Struthio camelus: one gene and its partners. The protein of the gene in region 3 interacts with the protein of the main gene of each other region in a pairwise test. Links are inferred from orthologs where the notes say so. Each region holds a gene or a part of one and is shown on either strand. Other genes may lie near its edges.

Region 1 (7,836 bases), on a different chromosome or scaffold from region 3:
TAGCCTTTGTCTTTTTTGAATATTTATAATGCAAGCCCTTCATAAAAGGGTCTGTCATTTTATTGCATATACTACTTCAATATAAACTGATAACAATATATTAAAACTTCAGGAGGAGAATTCGCTCAACACATACAGGAATAATCTATTCACTGTGGTACCACCATTTATTTAAGCTGAGCCAACACGCGTGGCAAGTACCAAAAATTGTAACTCAGATTCCTTATGAACAGAATAGATTTAAATAGCTGGAAAAAAAAAATCAAAAGAGTATTTACTGAGACTTGAAGACGATGGTGACTTTATTATGGCTTCCTTTCTTCTACCAAAAATCACATCATATTATTACGTAATTTACTCTATTGTTACACGTTCCCATTAAACTACTTAGACCCACACTAAAAAAAAAACAAAAAACCCTAGCAAATTAAAACCATGGGCGGATCTACCTGAAGGAAGGGGCAGGAAAGGGAGGAAGAAGCTAAAGGAGCTGTAGCTACTTCTCCCTCACATCCACCCTCAATGGCACAATGCACCCTCATGTCTGTATGAGGCCGGTGTAGCCAACCATCTGTGGAACTTCCCTTCTCTCATTATCAGCATTGCACGTAGCCCCAACACAGTTTTTCAGATTTCTAGAGGGTTTTTTTTTTTAAATACCACTTAGTTGCTTGGAAATTTTTCTGCTATCTTTCATCACAATTTTGGAATAAAACCTGAGAATTTTTCATCTTGCCTCCAAATAATTAGATAAACGCACAACAAATTCCTGCACAGTTTAATATGGTCCAATTGGCAGACACAAGCAGCTTGCCTGCCTACAGCACCATGTGAGGGCTATTTCTCCTGATAGGAATGAAGAGGACGATGGTCCCACTACGTTCTCTTTCACGACTGACAATTCTTTTCACTTTATATTTTATTTTCATACTTCAAAAGAGTATTTTTAAAAGTATACATATCAAAATTCCTCATATAAAGGTTGTACTAAGGGATATTTTGTATATGAAATTAGTTCCAAAACACAGAACTACTTGCTTCCAAAGAATGCAGGAAAACAACTTCTCAGAGTCGCAAGCTCCTCCCTAAAAGGACAGGATCCTGTACCAAGATACGCCATGGCACTAGGCTGTACCCACAGAGTCTCCTCTAGAAAGACTCCTTCCTAGACTAACTCCTTCCAGTAGTTGGTAAGAGCTATTATCTGCTTAACTACTGTGTCTGTTGTCAAACAGGAAAAATCTTAACAAAGCATCCAAAAGATGTGCCTTTCAGCTGCACCAGGAACGCGGGGTCACACAGATGTATATCTGTGAAGCATGAGGTGGGAGCTATTTCAGCAACCCAAACTTCATGCAGAACCAGACAGGTCTCTTGCTCTACGATAGGCCCCTGACTCACAGGGAACTGTAATAACTATTAGAAAGGAATCATGCACTTATCTAGTGAGTGGAATTTCAGACAGGCTGTACTTATTTGGTATCTAGAATCAGTTTTCTCAAGAAGACAGCACTGAGGTAGGCAAGAGACATATTCCTAACTTCCTTAAGAAAAGTGCATGTTCCAGCAAAAACATACAGTCCTGTAAAAGTGTCAAATCTGAAACATCTCAGAGCTGCTGAATTAACTTCTATGGCATAGCTAAAAAAAAAAAAAAGAGAGACAAATTTACAGCCAACCAACCACCTATACTTCAGGCAAACATTAAGAATCAAATATTCTGAAAAGGTTCTCTACTATGAAGTACAGCAACCGACACAGTAAGATACCTCCTTTCTTGTCCTGTGTCGTACAGGTCAAATTCTCAGACTTACCATATCATCACTTTTTTGAACTTCTGCCTGAGCCTTCTGGCTGTCAGGTAGCCCATTCTGCCTTTCTTCTTTTGGGCTGCTGGCCTGACTTTTGTTGGGGATCAAGGCGGACGGTTCATGACCATTCTGGAGTGGCGGAGGAGTAGAAGATGAGGGAGGAGGTAGGCTGGGTTTTGCATCTGCTTCTTCTAGTAATAAACATATCAAATCACCAGAAACAATCCCATATGAAGCCAAGGTCTTCTGGTCTTCTGTGAGAGCATCCTTGTTGTTCAGTGTTATTGAAAACTGCGCGTCATAACTGGAAAGTAATGGAAAAGAAATAAAGTGTGGTTAGCTGCATCTGGGTAACTGAACACAGGTATTGAAATGTAGAATTAGAAATGTATATTGCATACTGCTTAAGTACTGTTCCACAGGTTTTAATCCATTAAAAATTAGCTATACACTTAAAGGAAGAGCAGGGAAAAACTAAGGGTTATGCTATGAAGTGATTCCCTCATTTTTCTCTCCAAGCGTGTTTTAAATAACTGAAGTTGCTTAGTGGGTATAACTTCATCTGCAATAACCGCTCATAAAACAGATATGAAGGAAAGCAAACAGGTGCCTTCCAAATTAAACATATTCAACCTAATAAAACAAGTGTTAAATAAACCACTGACTCAGATCACTTAAAAACAGGACACTATTGCAGATTCAAATCACCTTGCTTTCCGATTAACAAAACATTTGCTTCAAAAGGTCAGCAGCTGCCCTCCAGCATGGCAATTACAGATGTGGGCAGTAAGAAAAGCTGCTTCAGCGCAAGCAATTACAAAAAAATAAAATAAACATGAACGTGGTTAGCATGAAAACCGTTATCAAGTACCAACTACAAAAATATACCCAGCACGGCAGGACGTACAATAACTCCAGCCTACGGTGGTATGCTGTACAGTGCAGTGCCATCGAATGTACGTACTGCCAATGAAACATGAGTTTCATCCTCATACCCGGTGACAGATTTGTGACTACAAACTGTTTCCACGCTACTAGAAAAGGAGTTTCTTCTGTAGGCAGCTCTTCCATTACCTTAACAGGTTTTATCCTCCTATAAACGTTGTCATGAGTTCTTCACACGTAAAAAACCTTTTATGAAGTCTAAACCCAGAGAGCCTCTAAGAAAGCCACAAAACTGTAAAACAGACATCCAGCCGCAACTCTTTGTAACATCAGCGCCACCGAGCAATACAAGCCAGCTCCGGCCGAGCTGCGCCCCGCGTTTCAAGGGCGGGCACGGGCCGAAGCGCGCTGCGCGTGCCGGAGCGACCGTTAACGCTCGGCAACCGAAACGTAACTGAAGTTTCCGTGACCTACCAGCCCTACCAGCCCTGTGCTACCCGGGGAAAACGCAGCTGGAAGGTGTGCCCGAAGGAGGGCAGTGACTTTTACCAAGTGCTCTGTGAGCTTTAGCAGCCTTCGACACGGTCTCGCGAAGTGACTAAAACCCCCGGAGCTGCAGGCCTTTAACCTCACGCCCCCCCACCCCCCGGCAACGTTCAGGCGACGCCGCTGCGCCGCCCTCCCCCGCCGGCTCCTGCCCTAGCGAGGCCCAGCGGGGTCTCCCCACACAGCCCTCCCAAACCCGGCACTCGCGACGGAGCCGGTTACGCAGCACCGGCCGGTCCCGCCGCCCGGCCCGGCCCGGCGTCCCGCTCCCGCCGCCCACAGGGGGCAGCAGCGCCGCCGCTCGCCGGGGCCCTTCCCCTCCCTCTCTCTTCCCCCCTCCCCCCGCGCCGCGTGGTACGGCCCCGCCAGCCCCCCCCTTCCCTTCCCTTCCCCTCCCTTCGGCGATGGTTCGCTCCGCACGTTACCTGTACCCCCAGGCGGGCAGCACGGCCTGGCGCAGCTGCGCGCGCAGCTCCCCCAGCGTTGGCTCCGCCCCCTGCACCTCCAGCGGCGCCGTCCGCTTCTGCAGGCGGACGCGAAGCTTCATGATGATGGCGGCGGCGGGTCTCCGCGCCCGCCTGGCGCTCCGAGCTGGCCCCGCCGGGCGGCGGTGATGGTGGCAGCGGGCGCAAGGGCTGCCGGGGCGTGTCGTTGTTTTGGTTGGCGCGGCGCCGCCCCAGCGCGGAGCCGCCCCGCCCCGGCGGGCCCGAGTTGCGCCGCCCCTCCCCCCCCCCCCCCGCAATCGCGCACCCAAGAGCAGCGCGGCCGATCGATGCCTCAGGCTTCCACGCTGTGCCTGCGCGACGCCATCGGTGATTGGGCGCTCGGGCTGTGCCTGCTGCGCATGCGCCGACGCGGATGTACCCGCCCTTCCTCCTCTCTTTTTTCCGCCTTCGGGGGGGGGGGGGAGGTGAGGGGACCTCTGGTGGTACTGTTGTTTTGGGTTGCTTCTCTGTTGTTATTCCAAGGTTATCCCCTTCCCCGCCTGGAAGGAGTAACGGGAATGATTTCTGCAGATTGGTTGCCTGCCTGTGTGCTGAGTAGTTCGGTTTTGCCTCGCCTCCAATTTTGAGGCCCTTTTAGATATCATTCTAAAAAGGTATTAAGGAGCCTGTTCCTGTTTGGGTATTAAACTCTGTGCAGGCAAAGCTCATGGAAACAGATGATCTAGGGGAAAGGCTGAGGGAGGGCACTGAGTATGACTCTTCCCCCCCTCCCCCCAAGGTACACTGGTGAACTGTCATCGTAGAGGTAATGTATTAGACCTGTAGTCAAATGTTGCTATGTCCTTAGCAAAAATACAAAGTACAGCAAACTTTTCTAATGTTCTATTCTACTTTCATAGTCAGTGCTACTCAAAAAAGGCCTCCCTCCACGCCTTAGATGTAAAAAATAAACTTCTGCTTTTATCTAAAAAAATACTTTTTTCAGAAAGTCTGGTAGGAAAAATGTAAAAGGTGGGCACAGATTATTCAAGTTGTTTACTTTGTTTAATGACTTATATTAATCCTTTAAGGAGAACAAATCCCTTCAGTGTGAGTTCAGAGATAATCTGTGTACAAAAGTTATCTTGTTTTTTGGTGGTTTTGTTTTTTGTTTTTTCCCTTCAGATGCAGTTATGAACACGAAGAAATCTTAGGCCTGTTGAGAGCAGAAACAGGGCATCCATTTATGAAGATACGTTCCTTACATGGAGAGAGGAAAATATGAATGAGGTATAGCAAGCCTAGAATACTCTGTAGGAGTATAATAAAAGAGTAGTGCTAGGTGAAGTGAATTTGAAACAGTCTGTACAGCTGCCACCAAGTACAGCTGCTTATTCTGGTGCTATTTACATTGCATATCTCCAGTATTCATAGGAAAGGCCTCTCTCTCTTGTTTTAGTCCTTCTGGGGACAGGTGCAAACAGGAGAATGAAACTTCACAAAACCTGTTCTGGGCTATGGTTGAAATCTCAGGCTAGTTCTTCTGTCATCTGAACATGGTCATTCAACTGAGGTAAATGTGGCTGTTGCATTTCACTTCAGAGTTTGGTGTCAAATACACCTATGGGCATATTTGGGCAACCATCATCTGTTTTCAATATCTTAAACTTCTCAGGGGAAAGGAGAGGGCGTATGGAAGAAGAAGACAAAAGGAATGACAAAGGCACTTTACGGAAATGGAAAAATACCATTCAGTCAACAATGAAAGAACTGGTGCTTGTGCTCAACCTTGTCTTGCACACCTGGTCCTTTAATGAGAACATTAAAACAAGTTGTTTCATGAGGGGCTTACTGACCCTTTTATGACAGCCCCAATTTGAGAACTACTTATGCAATAGTCATCAAATGGGGCCACACTGTGGACAGATGCCGGAAGGGTGGGTTGCTGTGGCAGAGGGGTGTGTGACTAGAAGGAAGTGGCAAAGGCAGGGACAAAGAAGATAGAAATGAAGAGAATATTTGGGGAGCAGTCAAGAGCACCATGCCTGCCAGAAACTGCATTCCTCTCTCTTGGAGAGGGCTGCATCCAAAATGAGTCATGCTGGTGCCTGAACAGTGGGACAGCTTCCCAGTGGCCACAGGCCTCCTGCTGTGTTTTGCTCTTTAGCGTTGTCTCTGTCCCAGCCACCTCCTGCGTTCCCATTGGCCCCAGGGCTGCTCAGTCCACGTTCTCCTTTAGGAAGGGAGGAGGGGACTCCCCTAGTCTGAGAAACGTTGATGAGTACCGTTGCGATGTTTCCAGCAGAAGCACCATTTAAGTAGCTTGCACAAGCTAAGGTAGTTGTGTGAAGTAAGAAGGTTCAATTCCTCAGGCTCCGGCCATGCTATTCATTATTAGGTAACCAGCTACACCATTTGCAAGTGAGCACTTTTGCTGGCATTTTGCTAAATGTTTTTTTGAATTTCATGAGTCATGCCACAATGCAAGGTTCAGACCTACTCTTCACACAGCAGTATTAAACAGGAAAATCTCCTAAGAAACAATTATGGTAAAAGCCTAAAACATGCTGTACAGCTTTAATGTTTGTCTGTGCCAAATTCAGCTGACCTAGAACCACCATCATCAAGGTGCAAGTACAACCTGCCAATCTCTGCTTCTGAGGTTTGACTGATGGAGTGAAACTATTGACAATGTTTCAGACTCCTCCTCGCAGCCTCAAAAGGCCACAAAAAGGCTTTTGATTGGGATTGATTTCAAGTTGACTGAAATAAAAAAATAATTTAAGCTAAACCAAAAATTACAGTTTGAGGGAGTCAGAAGTACTGCTTTCTTTTTCCTCCCACATCTATCTGAAAGAGCTGATAGTTGGTGTTATTTTCTCCACCTTTTTGAGTTTTGTCTCTTTCTGTAGGCAAGAGAGAGTATGGCCAAGTATGAGCTTGACCTCAGGCTAGGAAAGTCATTGTACCAAGGTAGCACAAGGAACTTGTGTTCTTACAAGCTTGAAGAAATGGTTGTATGCAGAATTTTGACTTTCAGCATGGTATGCCAGTGTCAGATATGATGATTGTATATTCTTCTTTAACAAATTAGACTAAAAAAACAATGTGATAGAAAAAGAAAGTTATTTTCAGCATTCGTATGCAACTTGAAGTAACACAAAATGGTTGTTAAGTATAATATGTTTCCTCAACTCAACATTTTTTACTCAGGGTTTTTTTTCACATGGTCAGTATAAAACACAGGCAATAGAACCCCTTCCACCTAAGTGGTAAAACTGCACCGTTAGCAATAATGTTAAGGTTTTACTTGAGAAATTTGAAACCTGATACAGCTGTAGTCCTGTTGACCTGCAGTCAACTTCCCATGGCAGGGTAAAACTATAAAAAGTAAAGGTCCTTTTGGTTCAATTACTTACCTCATGGAACATATTTTTTTTCTGAAAGCTGAGTACAGTAATAAGGCTGTGAGCCAGTGGATTTTTTCCATTGTTTTTCTTTCTGTATTTGCCACTGTAAAGATCTTGTTTTATAATACATATATATTAAGTACATATATGTGTATGTATATTAACTCTTTTGATACTGATATTTTGAGTGACTAGGGTCACACTGAGAAGTGGTAAAATGAGCAAGAGAAGGGGCTGGAGACTGGAGCATTGTCGGGAAATTTGTGATCTCATGTCACAGAAGTGCGATAGTCTGAAGTACCATTTTGAGCGTGCCACTGGAGGACATTCAAATCAAAGCCAGTGGAAAGGACCTCTTAGCTTCTCGCAGCTTGATAGTGGACAACTTCACTCCTAAAAGGCATTTTAAAGCCCTTCATGCTATTGGTCTATAACTAACACATTTGGTGGAGGTGTGCTTTACAAGCATCTCAGATCAGCGGCCTACATAGGGCCCTTATGCAGTCTGTGGATCTTGTTCACATAGCTCTTGACTGCTTTAATCTACTTCTCATGAAAGTACTTGTTCAAATGGGAGCAAGGGACCTTTCAGTGGGTTTTCTGGGCCTTTTCATACTGCTTCAGGCCTTTTTTGGCCACCACCATATTTTCCTGGATTTATTCAGAGATTGCAGTCTACTTTTTCATAGTAGGAGTAGGCAGCGCGGCCATTGACAGCCCTGTTCTCTTTCCTGTGCCTACAAACACTTCTGACGTACC
Region 2 (7,715 bases), on a different chromosome or scaffold from region 3:
ATAACGCAGCAACGCAAAAGAAATAAAAGGGCCTGGAAAGCAACATCGTTGTGTATGGAAAAAAAAAAGGGGGGGGGGGAAGGTAGAGAGGTCAGCAACGAGGGGCTAGCCCAAAAGATAAAGTTGGGGCTTCAGTGCTGCATGGAGCACAGAGGGCAAGTGAAATCCATAGGCTGCCCGGTGCAGAAAGGGCCAAGGTGAAGGTTGAGACACAACATCAAGAAAGTATAAGCCCCTTTTGTAAGACTAAAAATTACAGAATTTATGCACACCACATTGAATGATCGCTAGCTTTTCTCTACCTTTTCATCCTCAGTAAGGACTTCCAAGATCTGGTAGAAGTGAGTATGTGGAAGCTAGGTACTAAACGACTAACAGATTCTCGGTGCTTAGATGCATTGCTTATGTGTGGTTTCTTCTCTAACATTTCCCTCTGTATATCCAGCAGGTCACAACACCCTTATTTTCTGATCTGTAACTGCTATCTTAAAGTCACCCCATTTCATCCCAGAGTTAGCTACATTTTACTGAAGCAATGGATTTCCTTTGTATATCGTAGTTAAAATAATTTCACCGTGTTGATAAGGTGTCATGAAGTTTTGGGGGACAGAACAAGCACTGTATTCACACACATCAGTAGCAGACCGTGTGTTACAAATAAACAAACCCAGCATACTGTTTTCTCTTTGGTTTCCCTCTTCTGCCTCAGATGTCACAGTCCAGGGGCTGTGAAATCCATCTCAATTTCACAACAGTAAACACTAAACTGTGACATTACTAAATGACTCCAGCAAGAGGCAAAGGCCAATTACAAGCAACAACTATTTATACATAATTATCTTTATAATCAACCACGGCAGGAAAAAAACTATGCAAGAGCAGACTCTGCTAAAATGTCATTTTTATCTTCTCCATTCTCAAAGTACAAAACCCACATTTGCTCTCCAGGATTTGCTTTTGGTCTGCTTTTCTATTTAAATTTCTACAGCCAAATAGAAACCCCAGAAAAATATAAATTACTAATAATTTACTAACACAATTCCAACCAATTTCCCTTTTATAACAAGGTAACTATACCGTTACAAGTGGCAACGGAGCACTTGCAAAATACCAATACATTTTTCAGAGCGCACGCTGTTCTTATTACAGTCCGATCATGACGAAAACAAAACCAAATCTTCAATTTCACTTTTGCTTTTCCACACATTTCCCCCTGCTCCAGCCCAACGCTGCACAAAGTCTGCATTGAAGGTGATTCAGGAGAACATCTGATGCAAAAAAAAACCCAAAACAAACAAGCAAGCAAACAAACAAATAAGAAAAAAACGAAAAAAAAAATAAAAAACACCCTCCAAACCAAACCTATTATTTTTAGGAATGTAACCCCCCCCCCCCCCAATAGGTTTGTCAACATTTGTGCTTATAAGCACTCCAGTAGATTTGGGACGTGTCTGACCAGTTGCTATCCCTCTAGTTTCTAAGAAGTAACGCATGCAGTGCTCAAGACTCTCCTACAATGTTAAAATAATAATTTGTCATTCCCATCAAGCGAGTTTATTTTCGTCTTTCGAATTCTCCGCGTCTCACGCGAGCTTGCCGAACACCTAAGGAAGAAATCGCTCCTCGGCCAGCAAGTATCGAAACTCGCCTCCTTCCCCCCCCCCTTTTATAAGTGTGACATGACACCAAAGTAGTCACCTGCCTTGAACTTGGCATGCAGGACACACACAGCATTTCATGGGAGATATTTCAGCTCAATACTTTAAAAGACAAAAGGGGGGGGAGGGAGGGAAAAGATCTTCAGGCAAATCAATGAGGGCAAAAGACCTAAGCGATAAATACCTAACCTCCCCCCCCCCGAAAAAAAAAGGGGGGGGGGGAAAAGGAAAACCCTAGGGCTGGGAAGTCCACCTGCTAAAATGACTACCAGCCGCTGCCTCTTTTAAAAGGACACGACTGAGAGGGCTGCGCGTCCTCCCCGACATGAATCCCAACCTTTCCTTAGCGATCCCCGCTAAAACATCCTCTTCTCGCCCAGCCGCCGCGCACCGAGCGAACAAGTTGCACGCCAGCAAACCTTCCTCGCCCACGGACAATTAATTAGCCGCGTGGATTTTAATAAAGCCACCCCGATTAGGCTCTTCTTTGAGATAGGCGTGCGGACGCAGTCCAGAGGAGGGTGGGAGAGAGAGAGGGGGGGGGAAAAAAAAGGAAAAGAAAAATCAACAGACACACACACACACGCGCAAGAAATCCACAGGAGTTGAATACTAAAAAGGTCCGTCGCTGCTCAAGTGTCATTATTTTGCTGTTTTCTTCATTTCGCCTTTCTCTTCTCCCTCTCCTCTCCCCCCCCGCCTCCTCCTCCCCCCGGAGGATTTATAATGAAATACGATCCAACTTTATTTGTATAAGATCTCCCGGGGGGGGGGGTAGGAAAAAAAAAAAAAAAACCACCACGTCCACCTTTGGGGTTGCGGTTAAAAAAAAAAATCACCAAAAAAAAAAAAAAAGAAAGGCAAGGTTTTGGGGAGTTCAACCCCGCGATTCGGGAGTTAAATAATAAATAAACGGAGGGAGAGAGAGACATTGCCGAGGGAGAGGGAAGGGAGCACGCACATTTCATAACATCCTGCTCTTCCCCTCCGAAACCCAGCGCCGTTCAGGTTAAAAAAAAAAAAATATAAAAAGTCTTTTTCAGCCACAAACAAACAAAACAAAGGCTCCGCCGCGGGCCCCCCGGCGCTCGTCCCCGAAGCCGCCACTTTACCTTGATTTATCAGTTTAAAGCTTTGGGATTTCCTGCTTCTCTTCCTCTCCGTAAACTCCATGGTGCGGGCAGGAGGGAGGAGGCAGAAAGGAAGGAGAGCGGGGATGAGGAGGGCGAGGGGCGGCCGCGCAGCCCGTCACCCAGCGGCGGCGGCAGCAGGACCAAGGTCCGTCTCTTTAATCAGCAAAAAACAAAACGGGCGCCGGGAGATGTCGGTTCCAGCCGCACGCACCGGCGGGGGGGGGGGGGGGGAAGAGCTCGGGACGAGTCGGCGGCGGCGCCGCCGCTGCCTCCCCGCGGCTCCGGCCGCCCGCCCGCCCGCCCAGGCCGCCCCTGAACTTCGCGGGGTGCCGCGGCGGGGGCGATGCCGGCCAGCGCCGCCGCCGCCGCCGCCTCCCCCGCCGCCGCCGGGCGCGCGGCCGGCGGCCAAGGGCGGCCCGCAATGGCTCACCGCTGCCGCCGGGACCCCGGTGCCACCTGCTGGGGGAAGGCGGCGCGCCCCGCGGCGGGCTCCGCCAGCCCGGCCGCAAGGCCGCCACCCCACGCCACGCCACGCCACGCCGAGGAGGAGACAGCGGCGGCGAGCGCCGCGGGGCCCCCCCCCGCCGGCGAGCAGGGCAGGGCGGGCGGCCCCGCGGCGCCTCCGCGGGGGTGGCGGAGGGTGACTGGCGGGAGAGGGGCTGCCAGGGCAGCGCCATTTTGTGTCCCCCCCCCCTCCCGCCGCCGCTGCCGCCGCCGCCGCCTCCCCGCCCTCACAGGCTCCCTCTGCCGTGCCCCGCCGCCGCGGCTGCAGGTCGCCTGCCCGCCCCGCGGGGCCCCCTCGGGCCGGCGGAGGCCGCCGCGGCGCCCTGCCGCGAAGCAGCGGCGGCCTCTCGGCGCGCGGCCTGCGCCGCCGCCCGGCCCCCGCGGCCTGGCCAGGCGGCGGCGGCGGCGGCTCCCGCCGGCTCCCCGCTGCGCCCCGGCCTCCCGCACGGGCCGCTTCGGGCGGGCAGAGCCGGAGCCGGAGTCGGAGCCGCGCAAGTTGGCGGCGCAAACCGAGCGCGCCCGGGGAGGGGGCTAAGCGGCGGCGAAATGAACGCCGGTGACGGCGTTTCGGCGTCGTCGTTCGAGCTCGGTGCCGGCTGACGTGGCCTGGCACGGTCTCTCGTGGGGACCTGGAGCGGACCCCGACCCCGGCCGGGGCTCGCGGGGCGGCTCTCCTCCCGGGGGCAGCTTTCACACAAGGCGGTTAAACACCGACCTAAAGCGGGGAGTCTCTGCTGACCGAGTAACGTTTAGTACCTCTGGCCACCGTCTAGGAGGTCCACCGTGGCCGTACAGACGCCCGTAAGCGGTTTGAAGTTAGTGCTTTACTTTACTCCCCGCTTGGCACCTTCAGCTGTATTTCAGATTCACTTATTTCACTTACGTTGGTGCTAAATTTGTTTCTGTTGTAGGTTCTCTACAGCCAGCAGCGCCTATGGCCGTTGCTGCTAGAGGAAGGCTCCGGATAACCTAAAGCTCAGGTGCAAACATAACTTTGTGTTTTAAACATAGTCAGGCTGGGCTATGACAAGGAGAAGAGTGTGGGATATCCGCACGCGCTTACTTGAACAGAAGTTAAGTGCGTATTTGTACATGGTCTAATCAAAGCCCATAGGAAAATGCCGCTGGCTTTGGTATTACTGCCTGAGCCCATCGCTAGGAATAAGGAAATAAAATTCGTAAGTAGAAAATAAATTGCCTATTAACAGTAATTATTTGTATCAATATAGACTCCAGTCAGACCTGAATTCTCTTGGGCGAGGTGGTGCCCAAACACCCAGCAGAAAGTAGACCCGGTTCCAAAAAAGCAACCAGGAAATAGGCTTAATGGTGAAGCGATCTCAGAAAACATGCCTAATGGTAAAATTTATTAGACCCAGGAAAATTAAATTCATAAGGGAGGTTATGGAAACCTCATAGATTGGGTAAGGGTGTAATTTTCTATTAAATTGCTGAGTGGAAAATCCCAGAGGCAATCAATACGCTACTTTTGGAATTTTTCTAAACTTCACTGTAAGACTTTTATAAGGAAACTGGGCTAACATACTATTTAAAATCCTACATTATATATTTTTGGGTGGTTGCTGAAGCAGCAAAGGTAGGTAGATGTCATACACTGTTTGCTAAATTATTTGGGTCCAGTTAATCTCTGCTATGATACAGAGAAGTCAGGTCTGAAATGCAACAGTAGCGTGCATTAGTTTTGTGTACAAAAAAAAGTATTTACATTTTTTTGCCAAAGAGTCTGCTGATTCTAATCTGCTAATTTTATTTACGAGACTTGAAACTGCTGAAACTGTTGTGTTTAACTGTCATCCTTATTGGGACAATAGGATAATTTTATAAAGCATAAGGCCTTCATTTACTGTTCAATTCACATGATAGGCTTTATCCTGCATTTGCCAAAGAAATGTGCTACAAAAATAAAAAAATCTTTTCTGTTTTCCTCCTGTTATTTGATTTTGTAAAACATTTTGGGATATAATTTATGAAAAAAAAAAAAAGTGAGGCCAGTGTTTCATTAACTGCTCTCTTCTTTCTCTTAGTTCTTCCTTCCTAGTCGTATATTTTTTGCTTAAAGGGACACTCATGGTTTGAGAATGGCATTTCAGGCTGAAAACAGTACATACTGTCGTTTCAAGAAACATTTTACAAGGGTTAGCACATCCTTTTTTTATCAGTATCGCTCATTTTGCTTCTTGTGCATTTGACAAAAGAGAGAGATTCACTCTTTTCATTCTATAGGATGAGCCTGATCCTGCAAAGAAAACTTAGTGTGGTAGCTCAGATGAGTAAATCCTGTGATTTTCATTTCTGACAGTATTTGCCAGTTTGGATACCTAGGCCCTGATCCTGTAATCTCATCTGCATAAAAGTGAATTAGAAACTAGGACAAGGTGACTTTAGGTCAAAGTCTTCTAGTTATCCATAGAGCATGTAGGAGGATCTGGCAGCTGAAAAACAACCTTTCCATCCTGAACTGCTAATGTTTTTCAGCCATGACTTAGAAAAAGTACTTCAAGAATTCAAAGGTTCATATAGTCCCCAGAGACAGTAAGTTGCGAGCCTCTTTTTGGGGGTGCGTTGGGGTTAGTGTCCTACAACTGGACTCATATCATCTGCTCGTTTATCACAGGCCACCATCACATTATTCTAGCTGGAGACCCAGAGATAAAAGTCGTCTTTATTCCATTAGAATGGCTGCCTTGTTTCATCCTGCATATTCAATAGCTACGTCTCCGTGGCAGCCAAATGACTTATGATAAAGTACACTGGCTCCAAAGGGCAGTCAGCTTTTAATTTCGTCTTTTATTTCAGTTAATGTCTCAATATTGGATTGTTATTATTATTATATATTAAGAAACGACAGTTCCTTTTTTTTTTTTCTGATGGAAACATGGAAAATTCACAGCATTTTGTATATATTCATGAATAGCCACAAAGTATTCCCTCAATGAAAACATTAATTAAATAATGTGTTTTTCAAAACACCATGAAATTAACTAACTAAATGGACGCCTTATCTTGCAATATATTCCAAGTCTGCATGATTATCCCTGACTATTTTCTAGTTACTGTTTTATTATGTCATAAGTTACTTTGAAAATCATTTCCCCCCTGCTTCTAACCAACATTAATTTCTCAGATAATTTTCTGGTGTGTAAAATGCTTAGTTTATTTCAGGTGCTAGATCAGTAGCTAAACAATTAAATATAATTAATCTAGTAATACAAGCAAATTACAAGTATTAATGAGAACAGTGCTCTTCACATCAGGAAGTCTCAGACTCCTTTTCTTTGCTCCCAGGCTTATCCTCAAAATGGCTGGGTTGAGTTAGTTACAATATTTTAATTGTTATTAGGAAGGTAGGATAGTGTAGGACAAACAAGAGGGACGAATCCTAGAGCTGAGAAGAATGGTATGGGGGAATTATGAACTTCTTCAGCTTTCAATTGGAAAAACTGTACTTAAAGAAGTCTTACAAACTTCGTGATTTCAGGTATTAGGTCTAATACGTCAAGGAATCCACGTGAGGTTAGGAGAAGCAAGAAGGGGCTACCAACTGTCATATTAATAGCTCTAGGATTACTACTCATTTTGGAGGTTGAAGGAGTTCTGTGTGGTATTAGAAAGCAGGAGAAGGGTGAAGGGGTAAAGGAGAGATCAAGAGTTGCATAGGTGATGGGTTAATATGTTAGCTATTTCGGCTAGTTATGTTTAATGAATGTAGCTGAGGGTTTTATAAGCTGTGGTAACAATTTTTTCTCTTGTAGGTTTCCCATGGTGTTTTTGTGGTCACACAAAATACATAGGCAGTACCTTTTGTCGGCTCCCAATTTGATGATAGGTCACTTTGATGCCATACTGTCTTACTGCAAACTTTCCTTTTCGTAGAGCTTTCATGCTGACATATCTGGGGACTGGCTCATTACAGAGGTAGGGTTCTGGGCGTTACGAAGTAGTCTGAAGCTTAGACGTGCAGTTTAACTTGTTTTCTGGTCTTCCTTAAGTTCTTCCTTGAGTCCTTCCATTCCAGTCACAGCACTTGACACCCTGTTACACCTCTATCCTTTCTTTCTTTTTCCTTTGGGAAACTTGAAATGGCCTCTTCCGCCTGTTCTGCTGGTTTGTTAACCTTCCTCATATAAACTGAAAAGAAAAAGCTACAGGATGGATCAATGTTTTCATCTGTTTTCCAGCTCAGGGTTACTCATCAAAACTTCCCATAGCTGTTTCAACAATAAAGAATATAACTAAATCTATGCACAACGTGTTCTTTGTATATGTGTTTACAAGCCTGCTGTACAGCTCTAACAGTTTACAAACTCCATCAGACTGATGTTTTCCTGCCTTCTGTCATTTTGAGTCTACCTTGGACTAAAATTGCAAGGAAGGGTGGTTGGTATAAGAGTCAAGTTTG
Region 3 (7,089 bases):
CCTGCTTTCTGCCCACATCACTGTGCAGTGCCTGAATTCCCCAGAGCGCACAAACTCCAGTGCCAGCCAGGCTCTCCCTACTGGCTACCCCAGTCTGGGCCGTAAAGGGTCAAAGACAGAAATCCTGTGGTGCAGCCTGGGGCCATGGCACAAGGCAAAGAATCCCTGGGCAGATGCTCAGTGGGGACAGGGCAAACGATCTAGAAATACATCCTGACCTGATAAAGGGACACAAAAGGGGCAGCTACTGGGCCAGAGCGTGCAAAGCAAACCGCCTCCCTGTGCTGATGCAGTCACATGTGCTACCGCACGGGCAGGTTTGCAGGCTATAACTTATTGCTTTACAGCCAGAGTCTGCCCCATGCAAACTCCACAGTCGGGACAAATGAGGAACAAATGCTGCTTCAAGGTCTAACAAGTAGAAGCAAAACATTTTAAAAATGGGCCCTGCTGTTCTTTGCACCCAGGGCATTTTGGATGAACGTGACCGCTGCACCTGGAGGGCCACAATGCCGGCAAGGACCAGCCCTGATGCTCACCATGACATTGAGGATCATGCTGTCTTCCACCATGATCGCCTTCAGCAGCAGCTCACGGGAATCATCCGTGGACTTGTACCGCAGTGTGTACAGCTCCTTGTTGGCCTGCCAGCCGGTTGGCAGCAATTCTGACTTCCTTTCATCGGGACCTGGCTACAGGAAGACAGATAGGCTGCTGAGACCCTGACCACCAGACCAAATTGCTGCAGGGCCAAGAAAACTTGTCCTGGCTGTGTGGAGAGATCTGGGAGGAGATCCACATCTCCTGCAGGGATCTGTCCCTGCCTTCCAGAGTTCGACAGCAGGAGCAGGGCCCAACTGCCCCACGGGACCCCTGGGCTGCAACGGGAGGGACACAACCACCCTTTGCCAGCTAGGAAGACGCAGAGGAGGGGACGATGTTCTTCGCTGACCAACACCTCTCGGCCCCCCCCAGCGTGGGACAGAGCTGCCCAGGGAACTGTTGCCCCGTTTGTGCCAGCCCCAGGGCGGTCACTGCCGGGGGGCATTGCTGCGGGCTGCCCCCTCCCCAGCACCCAGGTGTTTCTTGGCTGGGACAGCACCCTGCACCCCAACCACTGCCTATCCCCAGTCCCGCACCAGTCAGGGGCTTGGACCCCCCCCTCCCAGCACCACACCAGCCCCCCAACCCAGAGACCCCACCGCACTGCAGACTCCTCTTGGGAGCACTGCACTGGGACCCCCCCAGCACCAGGACCTCCCCCCCAGCACCAGGAACCTCCAGCACTGGAGACCCCTCCACCCCGAGCACCAGGACCCTCGAGCACCAGGTCTCTCTGCACACCGGGACCCCCCCCCAGCACCAGGACCCCCCCCAGCACCAGGAGCTCCTCCCGAGCATGGGGACCCCCCAAGCACTGGGATCCCCCCCGAGCACCAGGACCCTCGAGCACCTCCCGAGCGTGGGGACTCCCCCAGCACCAGGATCCCCCCAGCACTGGGTCTCTCTGCACACCAGGACTCCCCCCAGCACTAGAGCCCCCCCTTCAGCACTGGGTCCCTCCGATCACCGGGATCCCCCCGCAGCACCGGGACCCTACGAACACCGGGCCCTCCCCCAACACCTAGACCCCCCCGCCCGGGAGCATCGGGACCCGGGAGCATCGGGTCTCTCTCCACACCGGGCCCTCCCTCCAGCACTGGGACCCCCACCTCGGACCACCGGGATGCCCCCCCGAGCACCGGGACCCCCCCTGCGGAGCACCGAGATCCCCGCCAGCACCAGGTCCAACCCTCCCCGGCACCGGGACCCCCCCCCTCGAGCACCGAGATCCCCCCCAGCACCGGGTCCAACCCCCCCCCAGCACCGGGACCCCCCCCCCCCAGCACCGGGTCCACCCCCTCCCCCCCTAACACCGGGACCCTCCCCCGGAGCACCGAGATCCCCCCCAGCACCGGGTCCAACCCCCCCCCCAGCACCGAGACCCCCCCCGAGCACCGAGATCCCCCCCAGCACCGGGTCCAACCCCCCCACAGCACTGGGACCCCCCCCCCGAGCACCGAGATCCCCCCCAGCACCGGGTCCAACCCCCCCCAGCACCGGGACCCCCCCCCCGAGCACCGAGATCCCCCCCAGCACCGGGTCCAACCCCCCCCAGCACCGAGACCCCCCCCCCGAGCACCGAGACCCCCCCCCAGCACCGGGTCCAACCCCCCCCCAGCACCGGGACCCCCCCCCCGAGCACCGGGACCCCCCCGCCCCCGAGCACCGAGATCCCCCCCAGCACCGGGTCCAACCCCCCCCAGCACCGGGACCCCCCCCCAGCACCGGGTCCAACCCCCCCCCCTAGCACCGGGACCCCCCCTGAGCACCGAGATCCCCACCAGCACCGGGTCCAACCCCCCCCCCCAGCACCGGGACCCCCCCCCCGAGCACCGAGATCCCCCCCAGCACCGGGTCCAACCCCCCCCCCAGCACCGGGACCCCCCCCCCCGAGCACCGAGATCCCCCCCAGCACCGGGTCCAACCCCCCCCCGATCACCGAGATCCCCCCCAGCACCGGGTCCCTCGAGGATCGGGTCTCTCCCCACACCGGGCCCCCCCTCCAGCACTAGGCCCCCCCCCGGACCAGCGGGACCCCCCCCCGGACCAGCGGGACCCCCCCCCCGGACGGCCCGCGGCCGCGCAGGGCGGCGCAGGCCCCGGCAGGCCCCGGGCGCGGCGGCGGCGAGCGGCGCTGGGAAAGGCCGGGGCCGGCGGGGCCTGCGCGGCGGCCGGGCCGGGCCGGGCCGGGCCGGGCCGGGCGGTACCTGGTCGCCGGCGCCGAGGCAGCGGTAGCCGTGCCGCACCAGCTCCCAGTGGATGCCGCAGAGCAGCGCGTCCTGCGGGCGGGAGATGGCGGCCCGCGCCCAGGCGTAGAGCGGCTCCAGCCCGGCCATGGCGCCGCCCGCAGCCAGCAGCCGCCGGGCCCGCGGCAGCGACCGGCCCGGCCGGGCGGGGCGGGGCCAGCAGCGGGGAGCCCGGGGGGCCGGGCCGGGCCGCGCTATGGGGCCAGGCGGGGCCGAGGGGCCGGGCCGGGCCGCGCTATGGGGCCAGGCGGGGCCGAGGGGCCGGGCTGCGCTGCGCTGCGCTGTGGGCCCGGACGGGGCCGAGGGGCCGGGCTGCGCTATGGGGTCAGACGGGGGCGGGGGCCCGGGCCTGGGGGGCCGGGCTGCGCTGCGCTATGGGGCCAGGCGGGGCCGAGGGGCCGGGCTGGGGGGCCGGGCTGGGCTACACTATGGGGCCGGACGAGGCCTAGGGGCTGGGCCTGGGGGGCCGGGCTGGGCCAGGGGGCTGGGCTATGGGGCTGAGTTTGGCCATGGGGCTGAGCTGGGCCAGGGGGCTGGGCTGTGGGGCCAGGCCGGGGCTGTGGGGCTGAGTTTGGCCATGGGGCTGGGCTGGGCCAGGGGGCTGGGCTGTGGGGCCAGGCCGGGGCTGTGGGGCTGAGTTTGGCCATGGGGCTGGGCTGGGCCAGGGGGCTGGGCTGTGGGGCCAGGCCGGGGCTGTGGGGCTGAGTTTGGCCATGGGGCTGGGCTGGGCTGGGCTGTGGGGCTGGGCTGTGGGGCCAGGCTGGGCTGTGGGGCTGAGCTGGGCCAGGAGGCTGGGCTGTGGGGCCAGGCTGCGCTATGGGGCTAGGCTGGGCTGTGCGGCCAGGCTGGGCCAGGCTTGGCTATGGGGCTGAGCTGGGCCGAGGGGCTGGGCTGGGCTGGGGGGCTGGACTGTAGGGCCAGGCTGGGCTGTGGGGCCGAGCTGGGCCGGGGGGGCCAGGCTGGGCTGTGGGGTCTAGGCTTACTTGTGGGGCTATGCTGTAGGGCTGAGCTGGGGTGTGGGGTTGGGCTCAGTTTTGGGGCCAGGCTGTGGGCTCCCGGGTCAGGTGTGGGGCCAGGCTTTGGGGCTGGACTGTGGGTGCCCAGCCCGTGGCCTGGCCCCCCGCAGTTGGGGGGGGGCAGCCGGCAGCCCCCCCCCCCCAGCCAGGTCCCGGCGTTGGGGCGGGGGCCACAGAAGCTCCCCAGTGCGGGTGGGGGGGGGGGCAGCCCCCGGATGGAGCCCCGCACGGGCGCCTGCGGGGAGCTCGGGGCGCCCCGGCCTCGGCACAGCCTTTCGGGGCCCCCCGGGAGCAGCCGTCGCTCCGGCGGGGAGACGCGCACTCGCTAGAGGGCCCTCGTCCCTCGCGCAAAACCTCGGGTGGCTCCGGCCGTCGGCAGCGCTGGGGAGCCTGCTGCCCCCCGAGGGGCCGGGCTCCCCCCGTCCCGTCCCGTCCCGTCCCCGGGGCGGCCCGCGTCGGGGCCGGTTTCCCAACCGGGCGTTACGTGGGGCTTCCTGCCGTGGCCGCCGCGGGGCCGGCAGCGCGCGGATCCCTGCCAGAGCCTCGCCGCGGGGCCCGTCTGATAACTCCCGTCCGTCCCCCACGTCTCTCTTGCTACCTGCCCGTTGGCGCAGAAACCCCTTCGGCATCCTTTACCTGCCGCTCCGCGGGGCTGCTCCGACGTCCTCCCTCGGTAGCTCCGCCGGCGGCACATCGTTTGATACGATTTATTTTTCTCGGCGCCTTTCCTTGCCACTGGTTTCTGCTGTGCAGGATTGACCTGTTTTCCCTCGTCTCCTCGGAGCGTTAAAGGGGAACCAAAGAGTTTCTTGAAAGAAAATGTAACCACCCAGCCGAGGGCAGGGCGGGCCGTATCTGCCGGGGCTGGGAGGGACATCGTGTTCCACCTGCAACGCAGGGAAGAATATAATATTGCTGCCGCATCAGGTTTTCTAGTGACCTGCCAGGATATGACCGGCGATGCAGCTCCAGTCCTTCCGCTCCAGTGAATTGGGGTTATCTGCAGCCCGGGGCTGATGCGTTCCCTCTTTGACATCACAAGGCTTGTTTTTTTATTCTGAGACATTTAGTACTTCTTCATGTACAAGAAAAATCTGTATGTGTGGGACTCATCTGCGTGCACACTTGCTCCCTTGTGGCTGCGGATCTGGAGACTGCGTATGTGGAAGGGCTCGCTCAGTAATTTCCCCGTGCCATCACCCCAGCTTGGCTGTGCAGCGTGGTCGCGGGGTCTCCAAAGCGGCCTCGCGTTCCAGCCGTGCGCCTGGGAGTCTCGCTTGGTTGAGATCTGCCTGCTTCCCCGTGCTTTCCTGCAGCCCAGGCTCTTCCTAACCAAGCGTCAGCCCGTGACCAAAGCATTTGCTGGAAAGTTAAGAAAAAGACAAAAGAATAGTGCCGTATGCATTCAAATGCCCTCTTATATTTGGTGTTTGCTCCGGCTTCCCTGAGGCACCTGTCCCGGGGGGAACAAAAGGCTGAACTGCTATTACCAGGGTTATTTCCATTCCTTCCCCAGCTCCTCTCTCTGGGCCACGTTATTTACAACACTTCAGTTCTTGTTAAAGTTGCCATTGAAACGTAGTCAGGGACTTATTTTTTCTGAACTGATTGTGGATCCGAGGCGGTTTTCTCTGTGGCTCCTCTGCCCAGCATGAGGCCAGGAGCTGCCACCACTGCTGGGACCCTATCGATGCCAGTGGCAGGATGTGAGGCTGGAGCAATCCCTTGGATGAAGCAGCCCAGTGCTGGGGAAAGCCGTGATCTGCTGCTGAGCAGCAGCTGAGCTCCAACTCCTTTGGGATGCTCTGACTCATCTTGACTTCATTATGCATTTATTAATTAACGCACAGGCCACTCTTTCCATTTCCCTCTCAAGAAGTCATTGAAGCAGAACAATTGACCGCAGACCGTAGGGCCTTCCTCGCAAGGAGCTCCTTGAGCGTTGCCCTTCACATGAGTCATCTCCCCGGTGGCTGCGGAAACATTACACCTCTTGCTAATCTCACCCGTCAGTGCTGGCTCCGCGGAAGAGGGACAGGGCTTGGGAGCCAAGTGTGAAATTCTGCTCGTGTGGAAATCAGTAGGAAAGTTGCCACTGATTTCAACAGGGCCCGGGTTTCATCGCATGTGTGCAGGACTCCAGACCTTCCTGGTAGCTTCTTTGCTCGTGTGTAAGCAGGCAGCGGAGCGTGGCCAACATGCCGTGTTTCTTGGGTGGGAAGGTGGGCGGGAGTCCCGCAGCAGTAGGCTGCGTACAGCCTGGGGACGTGGCACGGCCGTCAGCCCCGCAGCCCCTCGCCGGGCACCGCTGCCGGGGAAGGTGCGGCAGGAAGGAGGCGATGCCGGGAGGCTCCCGCTCCGCTTGGGAAACCGCTGGGTCAGGATCGCTGGTGCGACGAGGGGACGGAGGGCAACCTGTCCCGAGACCTCGGTGGCCTCAATGGGAGATGGGCACCCAGACAGCACTTGGATAGGTGCAGAGCCAGGGCCGGTGCAAATAGCCGCAGAGATGCCAGCGAGGTGGAGCAGGTCTCACTGGGCGCAGGGCTGGCGGGGGACTCGGGGCTCCCCCGCGCGTTGGACAGGGCGAAAGCCCTCCCGTGGGGTGGCTTGGGCAATGTAGCCTACGGAGATGTCTGCTTAGTAAAAGAAGCATCTGATCAGGGTTCAATGATAATGGCAGGAAATGCCTGAGCCGGAGCCTTTCCAGTACTGGGCTCGTGATTCACAACAGGCAGAATTTCCGTCCGCCCATCCCGTGGCTCATTTCTGATGGGCAGCAGTGGTGGTTTGCAGGCTTTAATGGCATCCACATTTCTCTTTTCAGGCACAGCCTTCCCCTGTGTGCCGAGTGGTGTACCAGATGCCCCCCGCCCCCCCCCCGACTCCTGGTGGCTTCGTTCGAGTGTCCTCTCCTGAGGCGGAAATCATGAGTCTTTCCTCCAGAAAGCTGATCCTCAATCCTGGCCCATCTTATCACAGAACTGAAAATGCACCATGCAAGCTAGAGACCCGCCTGGGCACAGCTGGAGTGGTTAGCGGGGATTCACCCTCGCCTGCTGGAAGGTCCACGAGTGTGCGAATAATTAGGAACTGCAAATTCTAGGAAATAGCGGTCCCTGAGTGAGAAGACAGGGCACAGGAGTTTGTACACAAAGTTATGCGAAGTGCTTATCGAGCTTGAGTTTTTCCATCCACCTTACTACCACCCCTGTCCACCCAAC
Region 4 (8,017 bases), on a different chromosome or scaffold from region 3:
TCCGCTCTCTTCAGAGTCTCAGAAGAATTTCCCAATTCAACTATATTTCTTATAAAGCAATACTAGTTTTCTGAAGAAAGTTGGCTTACCTACAGTATTTCAGTTAAAGTAAATGTAAACAATAAGTGTAATACTATTAAGACAGCCAGAAGTCAAAAAACTATTACATAATTAAGCTGGTTATTTTAAGCACTTAAAACCTGTTGTAAAGACATTCGCACAAATACCTGGGTGAAGACAAAATTGAAAAAAACACCCATTCCATTCTAAACTGAAAAATTAACGCAACTTTAACTTAAAAATATTATACCAGTCATTTCATATGAACTACTCTAGAAAGGGGAGAGAACACTTGGGGGGGGGGGGGGATCCGACTTAAAAAGTACAAGTCAGTAGTTACAGTTGCATTCCTAATAATAGTTACTTACAATTACAGCAAAATAATGAACCAGACACTTCTAAAGTTAGTGTCATGATGGAATGAGATGGGTTTGTAAAACACGGGGTTTTTTTAAGTGTTACATTTCCTACTTTATTATACAGATGTCTCACCTCATTTGGCTCCCTGGTGACTGCACAACTGTCTAACACAGTTATACACAAGGACTACACAAATCTGCATTGTATACTACAGGTAACAGACTACTGAGCTTTACTTTTAGTTACTTGTCCCTAATAGCTGTAATACTCAAATCAGATCTTAACATAAGACTGCACTTTCAAAGCAAGCAAAAAATCCAGACACTAGAACAACAAGGTTGCATCCATGTATTTGTCTATATTTTTTTCACTGAATGCACCACTTATTTTTGGAGCTGAAAGTATACATTAAGACACCAAGTATTACATGATTTTAGAAAAAGCCAGAAGTTTTATATTTCTGCCCTCTAATATCACTTGTTTCAATGTACTCCAAAAAGCTATCAGAGTCCCAAGAAACATTAGATGTACAATCATGCATACTCTTTCATAAAGACTAACTGTAAAATAAGAATTCACATGCTTTTGTAACTTCCTTAAAATAATTTACACACACAGAAATCTAAAATAATCCTTCCTTCACTATTTGCGGAGGAACTTCACTAATTTATAACCATAAAAATCTCAGCCATCAAGCTAAAAATGTTAAACAAGTTTATTTACAGCACACAACACAAAACTACTTGCTAATACTTCCCCTCCAACACTATCAATAGTGCCACTCTGTCAAAAATGCCAGTATGAACAATGGGTTTTCTTTTTTTTTTTAAAACCAATCCATTGCTTAAGACTGGTAAGTTAGGGAAAAATATGCAGAATACCAAGTCCAAGGACATGCAGCTACAGACCACCAGGCACATGCATTTCACAGCTAAAACTGACAGCTACCTGCAAACACAGAATATTTCAGAAAACAGTCGACTCTCCCTCAGATTGAGATTGACATTTTGTAGTCCATTACACAAAAAGCTATGTCAATCAAGGCAAAGAAATCGCACAACTGGAACAGCTCTAAGCTATTATGAAGTAAAGTTCACTAGCGCAGCTTTGCAATCACTCCAAGTAATAGAAGCCAGAGTCATCGGGGCTGTCATTTTAAGTTACAGGATCAGTTCATAACTTGTTTTATTTGACTGTTCCAAAGTGTCTCAAGTGTTTGATTTCATAGAAGACTTGCATTCCAAAGTCACCTGTCTTCCATACAATGCACCAAATTTACATTAAGCCACATCACGTGAATCACAGGAAACGAGTTTTATATCCAGTAAAGTGTCATTTAAACAAAGAGCTAGTACTTCAGTGAAACGATACATCAAACGTTTCAAAGTGAAATATCTTGGGGGGGATGCAGAGAAATCATTTCTGAATATATGAAGTTTTATAATCGCAAAGCAAACATGTGTTAGGTATTGAAAAGATTCAGCAAGATGTGGTTTTGATTCCTTAATATATTAGGGTCACAAGTTTCTAGGAAAAGGCTTAGTCTGCAAACTCCTTTCAAAAAAAAAAATATTGAGGCATATAGAAACAATAATCTATTGCTTACAAACAATATCGATCTACCCAGAAACATTTTAGGGAGGGGAAAAGTCTTATGAATAGGAGAAAATGGAGCAGGGTGGGAGAATGAATAGCCTAGTGCAGAGGACTAAAGCAATTCTCCACATGCAACCACCCAATTTGGGACAGTTTCAGTGAAAACCACGCGTTTGCTAGCGTAAAAGCAACCTTTCAAGCAGCACGGGAAGGCTGGAGATGCGGGAGGCTTCAGTGCTACATTTCCCACCGCTTGCAGGCGGGCGGGCAGGGGCGAGGTGCTCCTTCTGCCGGAGCAGCAGCCCGCGAAGCCTCCTCCCTCCATAAAGGCAACGCTCCGGGTCACGCGAGATGCGCTGCCCCTCGCGCGGCGCCAGCGCCCCGCAAAAAAAAAAAAAAAAGAAAGAAAAAAGTGAAAAAGAAGAAAAAACAAAGCGGGGGGGGGGAGGAGGGGGGAAGAGAGCCAGGTGGTACAAAGCGAACCGCCGCCACTAAGCCCCGCACTCCGCCGCTCCAAAACCCCTGCCCGAGGGCGAGCGGCTCCGCGGAGGCTCCGCGCGTGGGGGGGGGGGGGAGCGGGGCGCAGCCCGCGCGCGGCCCCCTGAGGGGCGGCGGGGGGGAGGGGAGGCGAAGGGCGGGCGCCCCCCCCTCCCCCGCGCTCACCTTGGCTGACGAGGCGCAGCGCGTGGGTGAAGGACGGGTCGAGGGAGTCCTTCTCCGCCATCAGCTCGGGCAGGTACTTCTCGTCCATGGCGGCGAACCCAACGGGGCAGCCGGCAGCGACGCGGGGCCGGGTCCCAAGCGGCGATAAATCCTTCGAGGCAACGCTCCCCCCCGGCCGCCTCCCGCCCGCCGCGGCGGGGACGCAGCCAGAGGGAAGCGCCGCCAGCCCCCGGCCCAGAGCGGGCAGGCGATGGGGGCGCAGGCCGGGGGACGCCCCCCACCTCCAACCCTCCTCCCCCTTCGCTCCGGCCGCGGGTAAATCCCTCCGCGGAGGCACAACGGGGCCCCGAAAGCCGCTCAGCCCCTCCTCCCCCTCACACGCGCGCTCAGAAGAAAAAGGGGAAGAACGAGGGGGGGGAAAAAAAAAAAAAAAAAAAGCAGCCAGCCGACAAACCGCTCACACCGCGGCGCCGCGCCGACTGAACGGGCGAACCCCTCGGCGCCAGGTTTATATACCCCAGGACAAGCCCCGCCCCCTTGCCGCCCTTCAGCCCCGCCCTCCTGCCTGTTAAGCCCCGCCCCCTCCCCTGCCCCACTGCCCCCGCCCTCCAGCCCCTCCCAATGGGTGGTGCTGGCCCAGCCTCCTTCGCTAATGGCCCCGCCTACTCAGCCGGCGCCTCCTATTGGGTGATTTGGGTTGTCAGTCAGCGGCCCACCGCAGATTGGGATTGGTGGGTGCGCTTCGCTCTCCCCCCCCCCCCGCGGGTGTTGGGGGAAGGGGGGGCGGTCGCGCCGCGCGGGCTGCGAGCGGCGTCGCCTCACGAGCAGCGGCCGGGGCGGCGGTGCCCTGAGGGGACGCAGCGAGGACGGGCCGACCGCAGGGCAGGGCTCTCTCATTAAAGCTGCGCGCTTTCATGACCCTCTCAGCCGCTCATCTCCTTCCCCCCTCTTCCCCCGAGAGAAGGGCCGGCGCTGTGCCCCTCCCGCAGCGTCCGTTAAAACCGCGCGCCGCCGATGAATAAAACATGCAACCTGATAACGGCGAACTCGTTTCGGCGTCTGTGGGCGCTCGTCCGCCGCCGTCTGCGGGTGAGCAACGAGGCGAAGGGACAAAGCGGCGGGGACCTTGTGCCTTCTCCCCCCCCCCCCCCCTCCGGGCCGCCCCCCGAGCTGGGGCAGCAAGGCCGCGGCCGGGCTGTGCCCCCGTACCACCTACCGGGGGGGGGGGGGGGAGGCCCCGGGGGGAAGATTTGTTCCCAAAGGAGAAACAACAGCCTGTTTTAACTCTCCCCCCCCCCCCCCCCGAAATCACTATTGAGCCAGTATTTTGTCCTTTCCTCTCTGGTAGTATAAAGCACTTCATAAGTATGAGCCAAATAATCTTATTTCTGCTCAGTTATGACCACCGCGAAGCGGGTTTGCGAAGTGGCAACCTGATGGAGCTGGAGGAGCTGCCGTTTCCCGCGAGCCCTGCTGGGTGTGAAACCCGCTCCCCCGCCCGCGCCCTCTCCGCTGCCGCCACGCTGGCTGCAAACAGCCCGTTTTACAGGTAGGAGAAGCAAAGCTCGGGATTGTGCTCAAGCGTTTTTTTTTTCCTAGATATTTTTCAGAGGATACACTTAGTATATTAGATCATTACTCACGTTCAGCTTTAGCTTCGAGGCTTTGCACAGCTTCCTTATTTGACCTCAGGAGTTTCATCAATGAACCCTTGGTGACAAAAGCCCGAGGGAGAGACAGAAAATTAGTAAAGCGCTAAAGCCAAAATCGTAAGGCTAGAGTAACGTTTTTAATCAACGTTTATTGGAGAAATCAATAGGGAACTCTCCAGTGATGAGGTACAGTTAAAAGACCACTAAAAAGATTCTTAACTTGTGGTAATAAAATAATGTCATATTTATTATTATACTTAATGCCAAAAAAGTTTTCAATATATCTCAGTTACATCCATGCAAGATGGGGAGGAGAAAAGCTCTGAAAAAAGACTGGCATGAGAAATCACTCACTCAGAACTTAACAAGCAAAGTTAAGGCTCCCTTCCCAGAACTGCATGCGGTCTTTTACCCATAAAACAGAAAGATAAAAAATATAAAACAATATCTGTTATGTTGCAATATGAAATAATTGATTTACATTCCATATACAACCCCTCCAAATATATCTGTCCCAGCACTAATAACCACAAACAAATTTACATTTTTTTAAGTTCTCCTGCGTGACATCAAACTTGAGGATATGAATAAAACAAGCTACTGGGAAAAGTTGGATTACAATGCAGGTTTTATTTCATCCTTCCTTATACAGCTTATACACAACTACTGAAATGCAGCCATCTGTTGTGAAAAAGTCAGACACATACAACTTTACCACAGAACAATGTGTAGGAGGCTAATCTTTATTGAGTGACCTGGAGGAAAATAATCCCTACCTTCACCAGTAAAGCTAAAAAGGTATTTAAAGTCCCTCTACAGCATACAGGAACTCAATCAGAAAGGTAGCTATATTATATGGTATAAAACATAATGCACCTTTCTTGCAAAAAGATTTATTCTCCCTGGTAACTGATTGAATAAACATTTGCTGTTTCAAGAAACCACAGTATTTCTTCCCAAAGTATACCAGTTCCCTCTGATTTATATAGAAAGTATAGATATAGAAAGGCTTACTGGAAGTCTGGAAGACTCATTTCTCACCAGATATATAATAATGTAGCAATTACAAAGTTATGGACGTTATATCCTATTGCTCAAACCCATGCCTGCACTTAACTAGTAGAGTATTTTCTCCATTGAAATTCACTGGGATATAATAAAACAAGAAATGAACAGAAAAAATGGGAAATTGTGAGCAACAGGCTGTAGAAAGCTGCCTATGGTGTGGTGATCTGGGAAAAGTCCACTAAGCATCGTCGTTGCTGTCCAGGAAAAGCAGGAAGCACCAACTCTTTAAGGATTGGTTGCTTTCTTGTTAGCGAAATCTATACAAAACTTGAAAAAGTTGCTTGATCAAGGAACTGCCCAGTAAATAGTAGCTTTACTAGTAACACAATTTTAAGAGCCATGAGTCCAAACTTTCAAAACTCATGACTTACTCCCTAGCAATAAACTAGTTTGTTGTTTTTTACGCACACGTGCACTCTGTTGCTAATACACACATGCTATTTTCAGGAATTTATTTCAGTAGGTAGATATCAGTTAGGAACCACTGTGAGTTGTAATGTCCATTACTTCTCTTAAAGCACCAGGACCAAAATTAACATTTGGAATTATTTAATTATTTAATATTTAGAAACATTTAATATTTAATAGAAGTTTTAAGACCTTTTCATACCTTCACTCTCTGGGGTGAGATTTAACCTCCTTACTTCCTGGACCGGTTGACACAAGTAAGGGGACAGCTGAAGACTGCTTGAAGAGGCTGTAACTGAGCTGCACCTTCCCTCTGGTAGGTAGGAGGTTCTCCATAACTTTTGGCAATTCTATTTTCCTTATTTGCTGGGGCAGCATTATAAGCAGTATTTAGTCATAAAGTCTTTGTTCCTAATACTGTAACTACACCTAAGTATTGTTTTTCCAAACTTACTCTCAGCTCACGCTTTTATTTGCTGTGGCCTGTGTTCATTGATCATACCGAGCTGCCACTGACCATTTAGACTCTGCAGGGGTTTATTGTGTTTTTTTACCTCCGATTTACTTGGTCTCAATTTAAAGACTATAAGAGAAACAGAACAGTTATTTATCTGAGACTTTGGCTCATTAAAATGCATACAGCTGAAGACCTATAGAAGCCGAGTCTATTTTGGGAAAGAGTTTGTCACAAATACCACATCTAGTGAATGTGTCCTTGATGTGACTCACCATAGTTCTGATTAGCATGTTGCTAAGTAGATGCTGGCTTCCTTAGTATTCCAATATATCACTTGCCAATTTCTATTAGGCATATTGAAATTATCATTGCTCTTCTTTCGCTGTTATTCCTGACCTTTTTCTTTTTTTCTTTTTTTTTTTATTTGCACGTGTGTTAAAGTATGAAGAAATAGTCAAGAGTTTTCCGTTATGTCCAGGCATCCTTTTTCAGAAGCTCCTGATGCTTTCTTCCAAATAGCATGGCTTTTTCTTTTACAAGCATTTGCCCCATAGTTCAAAGTTAAGGCTATTTTCATCCCCAAATGAATATTGTTCCAGTAGCAGCCATGCTGATGCCATTTCTTTTAAAAGATTTCTTACATTGCTTTCATATTTCATTCACCCTTTCTTTAAATTTATTTTTTTTTATTTCTTTAAATGTATTTCTAAGAGAAATATTTATTTCTGAGAGAACAAGGTTTGCAGGAAGAAAATATCATGTATTAGGCTAATACAGGTAGAAAAAAGAACATTCTTTCAGACACTTAAACTCATTGCCACCTTATTTATAGCCACTGTAACATGCCATAGTGTCACATGCACCTGTTCATCCAAGTCTTCCACTTCTTTTGCACCTTTTTCCATGGTATTGTGCAGAAGATATGCCAAGCAAGTTGTTGATTGGTTGCTTGTTTTTTTTTGTTTTTTTTTTTTTGTGAGGATCATATGCTTCTTTTAAGTTGTGCTTTTGTATATCACATTATAAAGTCAGTGCTGAAGAAGGCAAAGGTTTATCAAGATTGTTCCACAACGTTTTCTCGTGAGTTTCAACTGTTCCTGTGCGGCTCTATCAGTAACGAAAAAAACAAAATTCATAGTATCCACAGCTCCTTTCTAATAAGCATAACTTCATATTATTCAAGAGCTACTCTAGCTTCTGCCTATTAAGTATCAACCTATAGTGTGTTGCTGTGGCAGATCTAAACTACTACAGTAGAATAAGTAAATGACAGTTTTTCATGTTGTGAAAAACATCATCCGTGATATCATCCAAACTGTGATGCCAGTATCATGTTCTTTCTTCCCTTCCCAATTACTCTAGATTTCTGCCAGTCTTAGTCATCATCTTCATTATGATTTTCAGCTCTTATAGGAAGAAATTTTTTTAATTGCTTTAACCACTAACTCTGGAGAGAGTTTGCTACTTCTCTCTTCTTAGATGCAACCAACATGAATCACTTACAAACAGTTTTCTATTAACTGTGACTGAGTTTTAGATTGCATCTTTCTTGTATCTTTTGCCTGTTGTCATTAGGATTTTGCCACAGCCCTTTTTGTAGTTTCAGTATACTAGAATAACATTAACAACAACTAATTCCTAGGAGTTCTTCTGGTATTTCCAAACTGACATCCATAAATCCATGGGCCCCGATGGGATGCACCCACGAGTGCTGAGGGAGCTGGCGGATGTTATCGCTAGGCCACTCTCCATC

Evidence for each region.
Region 1: the proteins of PSMF1 (region 3) and FBXO7 interact in binary tests that used the Homo sapiens proteins (3 or more experiments, as listed by UniProt). The link is inferred for Struthio camelus from reciprocal best matches to the Homo sapiens genes PSMF1 and FBXO7.
Region 2: the proteins of PSMF1 (region 3) and BEND7 interact in a two-hybrid assay, tested with the Homo sapiens proteins (2 studies listed by BioGRID and IntAct). The two-hybrid records come from large-scale screens. The link is inferred for Struthio camelus from reciprocal best matches to the Homo sapiens genes PSMF1 and BEND7.
Region 4: the proteins of PSMF1 (region 3) and KHDRBS3 interact in a two-hybrid assay, tested with the Homo sapiens proteins (2 studies listed by BioGRID and IntAct). The link is inferred for Struthio camelus from reciprocal best matches to the Homo sapiens genes PSMF1 and KHDRBS3.

What each region holds. Positions count from the first base shown.
Region 1 is NC_090942.1:61,036,760-61,044,595, forward strand, and holds the start of FBXO7 (F-box only protein 7), read right to left. Parts: upstream 3,197-7,836; 5' UTR 2,883-3,196; coding exon 2,719-2,882; intron 2,116-2,718; coding exon 1,815-2,115; intron 1-1,814. UniProt on the Homo sapiens protein: Substrate recognition component of a SCF (SKP1-CUL1-F-box protein) E3 ubiquitin-protein ligase complex which mediates the ubiquitination and subsequent proteasomal degradation of target proteins and plays a role in several biological processes such as cell cycle, cell proliferation, or maintenance of chromosome stability.
Region 2 is NC_090942.1:7,979,028-7,986,742, forward strand, and holds the start of BEND7 (BEN domain-containing protein 7), read right to left. Parts: upstream 3,070-7,715; 5' UTR 2,832-3,069; coding exon 2,771-2,831; intron 1-2,770.
Region 3 is NC_090959.1:18,290,886-18,297,974, forward strand, and holds the start of PSMF1 (proteasome inhibitor PI31 subunit), read right to left. Parts: upstream 3,016-7,089; 5' UTR 2,940-3,015; coding exon 2,811-2,939; intron 693-2,810; coding exon 540-692; intron 1-539. UniProt on the Homo sapiens protein: Plays an important role in control of proteasome function. Inhibits the hydrolysis of protein and peptide substrates by the 20S proteasome. Also inhibits the activation of the proteasome by the proteasome regulatory proteins PA700 and PA28.
Region 4 is NC_090943.1:165,592,835-165,600,851, reverse strand, and holds the start of KHDRBS3 (KH domain-containing, RNA-binding, signal transduction-associated protein 3), read right to left. Parts: upstream 3,166-8,017; 5' UTR 2,768-3,165; coding exon 2,680-2,767; intron 1-2,679. UniProt on the Homo sapiens protein: RNA-binding protein that plays a role in the regulation of alternative splicing and influences mRNA splice site selection and exon inclusion. Binds preferentially to the 5'-[AU]UAAA-3' motif in vitro.